3 separate regions of the Mus musculus genome follow, and regions 1 and 3 are each reported to be linked to region 2. The links are microRNA targets in miRTarBase. Many come from high-throughput screens and were not tested one by one. Region 2 holds a microRNA gene; each other region holds the end of a gene's coding sequence.
Evidence for each region. The annotated mature microRNA mmu-miR-302a-3p reads UAAGUGCUUCCAUGUUUUGGUGA and lies in region 2 at 1,299-1,321, shown strand. An mRNA with a match to its seed (bases 2 to 7 or 8) in the 3' UTR can be bound and repressed. Matches are read on the target gene's strand: a 7mer-m8 pairs with bases 2 to 8, a 7mer-A1 pairs with bases 2 to 7 and ends in A, and an 8mer does both.

Region 1 (3,116 bases), not on the chromosome of region 2:
CACACTTCCCACATCGTCCCATGAGATGCTGCCACCACAGCCACAGTCAACTGATTATCCTCGTGCAGCAGACTTAGCATTTCTGGAAAAATACACTCTTACTCCTCAGCCTGCAAATATAGTTCATCCCGTCCGACCCGAACAGATGCTAGATCCTAGAGAACCATCTTATCTCGGGACATTACTGGGCCTTGATAGCACAGCTGCTGTCCAGAATATGTGCAGTAGTGAGCATCGTTCATGAGTAACCATTCCATAGGCCTTTTAATGCTGTAAGCTGACAGCCAGAAGCTAATGGCTTTTGAATTAGTAGGGCTGCTATTTTTTCCCCCATCTTTTTCCCCTAATTTCTCAAGTCTTCAGAACAGCTTCAAATCAAGAAAAGTTTATTTCTATTGACTGAATACTTGGACACATTTTGACATATTTGAAGTATGATTTTTTAAAAAAAAATCATTAGTACTAATTTTGAAATTTTTAAATTTCAGATTATTAGCTGCTGACAATGGTGGAGGTATTTTTTTTAATCATCAGTGGAATTTTTTGTTTGTTTGTTTTTTTTGAGACAGGGTCTTAGTTTGTAGCCCAGGTAGCCTCAATTTGTGATAGACTTTCTGCCTTAGCCAACCAGTTGCTAGGATTACAGGTGTGAGCCCCAAGCCAAGGTTTTACTTTTAATCATCTGTTTTGTCCGTTTCCCATATTGCTATGAAGTTTTAAGAACCATGTAGCCTATAGGAAGGAATGTAAACATATGTCAATATTGGCAAAATTTTAATACTAATTAAATATTTTGTTCAGATTTTCAAAGTTGAGTTTAGAAACTTATTGAAATTTCTTACATATTTTTGTAAGAAAATCTTGATACTTTGAGGTTGTCATCTATCCATTCTTTTTGTCAGTATATTTGGGTTTTTCACAAGCCAAAATCCAAGAGCTCACAATTACAGGATTAGCATGCTAAATGAAATATAAGGTTGTTATTTTAATCCAGATGATTGGACCTGTACTCAACTATGATAAGTAATAAATACAAACTTAGCTCTAGACATTAAATTATCTAATTGAGTATATCGTAATGAAAAACTGTCAGTTTCACCTACATATCATCAATGTACATTGGCATTTTGTATTTGGGCACTTCCTCCTCGTTCCCAGTATGTGTCAGTATCTACAGATGAGTAAGGAAGGAAGGGACAAGTGTAACTAAAGTGATGGCAGTTCAGTTACACAATGGAGTTAGCATTTCATTTACCACATTTGGCTGACTGAAGCAGGGAAACAGAACCTAGATATTTTACGTGTAGTTATCAGAAAAGGTGCCAAACCCATTCTCAAATCCGCCCTAACTTAACAGGATGCTCTTCAGCTGAGTGCACTACTGTTGGTGTATAGATTGACACTTAAACCAGATCTTTCTTTTTGCTTCTGTATGAGATTTGTCTCTATTCTTCATTGTTTCTGGATGAGGCAGTGGTTGAAGTCTTGGTGAAAGAAAATAGGATTTACAGCAGCGCTTCACAGATTAAGTTTAAGTGAAGGACAAAATCTTCCAGAATTACGAAATATCTTTAGAGATGTGCACTTTGCATTATTTTCAACTCAATTTCATCTTAATATAGGATGAGTTTTTCCTTGTGGGGTTGCTGATGCTTAAGACAGGTAGGGTTGGCTCACTGTTAACATGCAGTTTGTATGGAAACTACTGGAAAAATAGCAGTTGTCAAAACTTTTCTATTTCAATTTGTTTACACTCCTAATTGCTTTTAGCACTTTTGTGTGTGCGTGTGTGCGTGTATGTGTGTGTGTGTGTAAACTGTAACGTTTTGCTTGGCCCTTGTGGGTTTTGAAAACATATCACAAATAAAATAATAAACTTCTAGTGAATAAAATGTAATCAAAAAGGAGGAAACTGTTTAAGCACTTAAGAAATGAAGGTACTTTATAGGAACAGTTGCCATATTAATGTTCAAAGAGCATGTTGCAAATTGAGGCATTAACCAAAGTAGCTAATATAAATAATAAAGATAACCTGAGTTTTGCCTCACTTATCAAAGTTTGGTTGTTGTAATTGTCTTTGGACTAGTGAACTTAATTTTGTATTATTATTGCTAAAGTCTTCTTACTTAGTGTGGAAGTGTTCTGTGGGCACTGATAACTGAGTAGAGTCTGAGCACTATGAGTCCTGGACTTATAAATCATTGTCAAGAGTACAGATTTGTGATTTCTATCCAAAGGCAGAGAAGATTTCTAACTATCTTACTGAAATGAAAACATCATACTTAGAAATGTACTTTGCTTTAGAGATAAGCTAATGTAGAAAATTTTGGGTTTATCAGAAAAGGCAAATGTTATATATGTGTTTATGTGCATGATGAATTGTATATTCTGACAGAAAAGGAGGATACAGCATTTTCACAGTGGAAATATTACCTTGGGTTTTGAAGGTATTTAAGGTTCTTTCAATAATGATATTCTAACACTTTAAATATATGACTTAATTTTAGTAATTGGTTTACATAGGACTTTTGAAGAATATAGCTCTTATGTAAAGTGGCATACAATTTTATAATTGTACTTAGCTATTATTGTAGAAAAGCTGAAATAGTGTCTGTTATTTAAACCATTTTCATGTTATCTCATTTGAACCTAGTAAGCAATTTTGAAATAGAAAGGAAATGATGTATTTCCATTTTAGAGAGATACTGAGAGTCATTTAGAGTCATTTGACTCTACTCTCATGCCAGAACTGCCTTGAGTGGAAGGAGGAGACACATGGCATTAAAAAGGCTTACTATGTGCAGGACTGTGTTCTCCAGTTCCTAACGCAGTCTGCAGGTAGACAGTAGAATATTTAGGAAGAAATGAGGAAACCCATAATAATGAAAAGATTACTGTTCCCTCTAGTTTCCAAAAATGTAAGAACATGGATTTGAGAAAACTGAATGTATAAATATTTTAAGTTAGCACAAAAATTATAAAATAGACCCTACTCTTCTTAGTTGTCCTTTTTATGACTCTAAAATCATTATTTTGTAACTATGGTTAAAATTTTGAATCTCACACGTACGTTTAGCCTCATTGTGAATATTTTGTGGGTATAATTTATTGTTTTA
Region 2 (3,000 bases):
GTGCCAAATACTCTTTCTTCAAATCCATCCATTCAGTCCTGAAAAACAAAAATTGAGCCATTACAGTGATAAGACGACCCAACTAGAAATCTGAAGTTGATCTAAACACAATGTTCATAGGAACTGCAAGTCTTTCTGACTTTTCTTTCTTTTAAGGCATATGTTTACATTATTTGTTAAGCCATTTGTTAAAGCTACCTAGCAAACACACAAAGGAAGTTTCTTTGTCTTAACAGGCAAGGAAAATGCTTGAGTTTCCTGGTTGCTTCTAATATTTAATTGTAAAATCACTTTTGAGTCACTTCTATTAAGTAAAATCACTAAATCAGGCAACCTGGAGAAAAAGTAAGAGACTAAAACTTAAAGATTTCTCAAATTGCTTCCAATTTGAGAGCTAACATTCCTTAGGATTTACTTGAATCAAAAGGAATTTCTAAGAAGAAAAAAACACCCCATGGAAGCAATTTATTTATTTACATACATTTAACATGTAGATGTATCTTCAAACAGCTAGGGCTCCTCCAGAGAAGCACAATGCATCTCCTGGCTCTGTGGGAGCGCTCATTGTTACCCTAATCTGTGCCATCAAACGGGCAGATAGGAGATTTTTTTTAAAGAGGAGGATATCTTGTGGTAATGGTTTTAGCAGTTAACATTGACATCTGTTTACTTCAAAAAAGGAAAAAAAAAAAAAAAATCCAGACCTACCCAGGTCCCCAGGACCTACTTTCCCCAGAGCTGATACATTAAAATAACAAAGGGTCTTGTAATGATTCTCAGAGATAGAAAGCCAAAAGGAACTCAGGAGTTAGGAGTAGTATAAATACAAGTGGTCTAAAGTCGGCGTCTTTCACCCTCCGAGGACAGAACAGGACTCTTTGGGAGGCGGTCACGAAGGTAAAGGAGGTAAAGCTTATGTCTGTAACCGGGTCACTTTACTTTCCTGTGGGTTTGCTCTTCTGTTTTAACTAGTTGCCTTGTGGGTGGGTTCCCTTCAACTTTAACATGGGAATGCTTTCTGTCTCATCGAAGAGTAAGTGCTTCCATGTTTTAGTAGAAGTGAATTCAAGAAACTCTGGAATAAGAAAGCTAGCCTTTTAATTCAGAGTCTGATGGGAGTCCCCTCTGCTTTAACATGGGGTTACCTGCTGTGTTAAACAAAAGCAAGTGCTTCCATGTTTCAGTGGGGGTGTCTTAAACTGTTCAACATTTTCTCTAAGATGCTGTAGGTTAAGGGAGTTATTGACTGGGCTTCCCACCACTTAAACGTGGTTGTACTTGCTTTAGACCTAAGAAAGTAAGTGCTTCCATGTTTTGGTGATGGTATGTTTTCCTTTATATTCATGCCTTTGTAAAGACCACTCAAGTCTGCTTAAGGGGCCTCCTTTACTTTAACATGGAGGCACTTGCTGTGCATTTAAAAATAAGTGCTTCCATGTTTGAGTGTGGTGGCTCCTACTTAATCTTCATTGTGCTGCATATAGATAGACCAAGGCCGTCACTGTTGCTAACATGCAACTCTGTTGAATAGAAATTGGAATTGCACTTTAGCAATGGTGATGGACCTGTGTCAGTGGCCACTTACTTGGACAGCACTCTCAATGGTATAACCTCCTCGCCCATCTTATGTCTCTCCTTGTGTTTCTTCTTATGCTTCCTCTTCACCTTTGAGAGTGAGTCACCTTTTCTGTCTGTCTCCTTCTCCTCCTCAGTAGAGCAGAATTCTAAGTCTAGAAAAAAGATTTCCGTAAGTCCGTTGTTGTGGTTAAACTGGTTAAAACATTTGTAACCCTACTGCCACGGTACCTCTGCTCTCCTTGGAGACCTCGGAAGCTGCTTGGCCGACGCCATCCTTCTGAGCCCTTTTCTTAGCTTTTGGCCTTGGGGGGAGGCAGTCTTCGTCCTCGGCGCTGCACCTCTCCCTCTTCCCTGCCCTGGCTTCAGGTAAGCTGGATGCTTCCACCTTGTCCCGCTTCTTCTTTTTCTTTGCAGGTTGCTTTGGAGCTTCCGGGGTTTCTGCTTCGGAGCCCTCAGAGGCCGTCCTTGGTCTCTTCGTGGCTTTACACACGCCCGAGCTGCTGCTGTCCACGGCCGACTCTTTGGCCTGCACACTCTCTTCCTTCTTTATTCTGCCTTTTTTCTTTTTCTTCTTTTTCTTCTCTTCTGTAACAAGATTTTATTATTTACAGTCATAATAGTTTATTGTTTACTTGGCCACTCTAAGTAAGCACTCACCTGCTACTCGTAAGGAAGGGATGGGCTTGTTTTTCACTGTCTTGGGAAATATACCAGGCTTTCTAGGTGCTTCTTCTGGTGGGTTGTTCAGAAACTGAAAAGATTGATTGCAGAATTTGTTACTCTTGTTAACCCTGTGCTTTTTCTTTACTTTTCAGGGTCCCACAGAAGTACGTACCTCAATGGCTTTTGCTGCTTGCTCTTTTGTTTCAAATTCCACAAAGGCAAATCCCTTAGGATCCCCAGTAGACTTGTAATGTGGAATACTTATGTAAACCACATTGCCACATTTCCCAAATACTCTCTCAATCCAGCTATGAGTAACATTTTTGGGGAGCAACTCCTGTAATAAATCATGGTATGAACATTTTAAAGTTCCTACATTTTTACCAATAAATGAATTATAAATAAATGAACTAGAATTAAAATTTGTGTCATTTCTTACCACATATACCGTGCGTTCCTCCTCGTCCTTTGGTCTCTCACCTAGGGGTTTTTTCCTCCTGATTCTGGTCCCTTCTAAGTCCAACTTTATGAGGGGGGAAAAAAAAAGGAAAGCTAAATAAAGTCAGTAGTTAATTGGATGTGGGTGACTTGAAATGTAAGTTTTTTACCTCTACAACAGATGAGCTTTTCAATGCTCTGGCTATTAGCTTCCCATCAGTTGTCAGCTTCTTCATTTTGTTAAAAGACACCAGGAGAGAAATGTCCACATCTAGTAAATAGGATAGTGGGATGTTAAACACTGGAATATATACATGTGTG
Region 3 (3,116 bases), not on the chromosome of region 2:
AAACAACAGAGGCCATCCTGGCTGGCATACACCTTTAATCCCAGAGCAAGGTGCCATCTCTGTGAGTTTGAGACCAGCCTGTTCTACATAGCAAGTTCACAGACAGCCAGGGTTACATGGTGAGGTCAAAGTGGTGCAGCCAAAAAAAAAAAATCACCTCAACAACCCATTGCCAAGATAACTGGTGAAAAAGGCTCAGTATCCTCCCGAGGTACTGTACATTTCTCCTGATTCTGCACTTCTCCCAGGATGCACAAGTATGACCATTGTCTATCGGGAAATAATGATTTTTTTTTAAACCGTATGACTAGATTTATGAATAGAAAGACTAAACCAATCACCCAGTCACTATTTCCAACAAAAGGCCGAGCTTCTGTCGGTCACCGTTCCCCTGGTGGGACAGGTAAAGCTGTGGTAGAGGACAGAAGATTCTGTGGTCAGCACATCCCATGTGAGGGCCTGAGGTGAGGCTCACCACTCACCAGAACAGCTCGCCCTACAATGGCCAGGGCCAGGGCATGGCATGCACCCCGGGCTTCCTGCTACACCTCACCCACTCTCTACTTCCTCCAATACTGTGAATGAATCCAGTAAGGGTTAATCCCTGGGTCAAGGTTACTCCTCACTGTGCCAATAGCTTGAGGGGACACCACATACTCCTGTCCCTCTTCCATGGTTGTCATGACGACACAGGTGGAGTTGCAGCCGTTCACCCTTGAGTTTATCACCTGCCACCTGTGTTTATTTGAATCTCAATCCATTCAAAACCCTAAGCAGATATATTTTATCCCCATTTTACAGATTCTGTTATACTATCGATCTCAGGTTGATTTAGACTGTTTGTACCTGGCTGTAGGTAAATCATCAGGGAAGTGTGGGAAGCCCCGGGCATGCTGATTATGTAATATCTCACAAATTCCAACAAAACACCACAAATGAAGAGACTAGGCTTTAAAGTTTTAATAATAAATTGTGCCAGTAGAAGCTTTCAAAGGCAATGATATATCAATAAATAATAGTTAAATTGAGTTCCTGAGAAAGAACCTACCACATCAAACTATGTCAGAGCGCTGTAAATAACACGGCATTACTACAAAATAGCGAGAATACTGTAAGTCACAATACAAGCACAGCAGACTTCAGAATATGCCATTCATACAAATGTAAACCAGACACAGGAATGTTTCTTAGACATAGATAAATTTGTAAGTGTTTCTGCCTAGATAATACTAAGTAACGGGTGCACTGTGCTAAGAACCTTGGTGAGAAGATTTGGCATAGCATAATGAAAATGGGATGTGTTCCATCCTTGAAAAGCAAAAGAAACTGAATGTACTCAAATATAAATCACCTTAAGTAGGAAGCGTACTAATTTGAAATAAGGACTATTTTGTGTGTTTATCTATAGTTATATACACACCTATATGTCTAAGAAAAAAGTATGGCTTGTTTTTGTACTCCAATGTTGCTTCAAAGAATCTTTTTTTCTTTTTACAAAGTTAGAAAAACGTATTAAGTCACATTGAGATGTGACAGACACCTCTCATGTGAAAGAGGCCCAAAGAACTGGGTTTCACAGAACCTCCTGGTTGGCTGAGAACACAGGAAGCAGGACCCTTACATCACCTATGGCTGCGGGAACCCTGTGAGTGAAAGAATGAATAGCAGGGTCCAGCTCCCACAGCCACACCTGACAGCAGACAGGACTACGGAAATGGACAAAACGCTAGAATTATGTCAATGTTTTGGCAAAGCTGACTTAATCCCTTTTGATGTGTTTTATATATGACAAATGTTTACATTTGCCTCCCGAAGAACTCAGTCATATCCAAGACACACACACATTAAAAAAAAATCACACTTCAGTTATACATATGCATTTCTTTAACACACATCCACACAATACATTATCAGCACACTGTCTAGAATACCTCATTTAAAAACGTATTCACAGGACCTGCTGTGAATGGCAAGATACGGTATTTTATACTAGAAACCCCTGCTCATGCAGTACTCTCCACACCAGACACCGGAGTCACACCCACCAGCTCTCTGCTCACTCTTTCTAGGAACTATAATATGCAAAGGAGAAAATACAAAAGCAGCTTTCAAACATTACATCACAATTTGAAATGTGGGAAAATACAAAACTAAGCCACTGTGTAGATAAGCGGTCCTCGTGACTTGAGCAGAGCTCCGTCGCCTCATCCTCTCTTATTGCACAGACGTCTTGCCTCACGCTCTCCAGCTCTTCCTTTTCTAGCTGTGGACAAGTGCTATCAGATACAACACACATGGAAATAACAGCAGCATGGTTTCTCACAGTCAGTCCTTATAATTTAGTAAGAAAAAGATGGGTATCCACAAAATAAGTGCTCTTTCCATACTGTACTAATTTTTTAAAAATACTGTTTTAATGCAGTGAAGGTCCTCAGAGGGCTAATTTGAAATCATGTTGACTCTTCCTGTTGCCCATTTACCAGAACTAAAAATGAAGGATTCCTAAGCTTGAGTTTGTCTTCTGAAAAGAAATCTCATTTTGGGTTTCCTCGAGTTGTGGTTAACTGAGGCTTACACGTACACCGGCTGGCAGCCCTCGGCCGCACCTTCCAAGTCCGCATCCCCTGGGTCTGCACTCTCTGCGGGCTCTGAGGGCTTCGGGCACCGGAAGGGATAGCCGTTGTCATCGAAGAACCTGCGGAAGGTGAACTCATAGAAGGCGTGCTCTGGATGCTTGCTGCTGGGGGAGGCCAGCGTGTCCCAGGCCTTGGCGCTCTCTCCGCTGGCCTCGTGCCAGGGGCTTTCTTCATCCACCGGGTCAAAATTGGAGGTGTCCATGGGGTGGCTGATGGTGGGGACGTAGGGTGCAGGCTGCTTTCGGATGTCACGGGAAAAGTCGATGGTGTTGAAGAACGGGTGTGCCTTGAGGTCATCTGCCCCATCCCTGCCCAGGCGGCAGTCAGCCGCGCAGCACAGCTTCGTGATGAGGTCTCGGGCCTCAGCGCTGAGCCTCACCTGCGTAGGGATATGCAGCGTGCTCTCCCAGTTGATCACCTGTGGGCAGCAGAACCACTGTTAGCACCCCATCGATCTAAGTCTTGAGCCTGCACAGCCTC

Region 1: miRTarBase lists Zbtb41 as a target of mmu-miR-302a-3p. Seed matches in the 3' UTR shown: 7mer-m8 at 1,769-1,775 and 8mer at 1,920-1,927.
Region 3: miRTarBase lists Lats2 as a target of mmu-miR-302a-3p. Seed matches in the 3' UTR shown: 8mer at 2,370-2,377 and 7mer-m8 at 2,272-2,278.

What each region holds. Positions count from the first base shown.
Region 1 is chr1:139,447,287-139,450,402 of GRCm38, forward strand. Zbtb41 (zinc finger and BTB domain containing 41) reads left to right here. Exons shown (of 11, transcript NM_172643.5): 11 at 1-3,116. The coding sequence ends at 244. Among named protein-coding and RNA genes, the nearest start is that of Aspm, 5.9 kb to the right of the region's middle.
Region 2 is chr3:127,544,241-127,547,240 of GRCm38, forward strand. It overlaps Mir302a (microRNA 302a), which reads left to right and starts at 1,256; the gene lies at 1,256-1,324. It overlaps Larp7 (La ribonucleoprotein domain family, member 7), which reads right to left. Exons shown (of 13, transcript NM_138593.2): 3 at 2,850-2,950; 4 at 2,681-2,764; 5 at 2,414-2,578; 6 at 2,236-2,329; 7 at 1,807-2,163; 8 at 1,586-1,730; 9 at 1-38. It overlaps Gm51018 (predicted gene, 51018), which reads left to right and starts at 849. Exons shown (of 2, transcript NR_146435.1): 1 at 849-906; 2 at 2,394-2,663. It overlaps Mir302b (microRNA 302b), which reads left to right and starts at 988; the gene lies at 988-1,061. It also overlaps Mir302c, Mir302d and Mir367.
Region 3 is chr14:57,688,717-57,691,832 of GRCm38, forward strand. It overlaps Lats2 (large tumor suppressor 2), which reads right to left. Exons shown (of 8, transcript NM_015771.2): 8 at 946-3,054. The coding sequence ends at 2,572. Among named protein-coding and RNA genes, the nearest start is that of Gm26440, 7.5 kb to the right of the region's middle.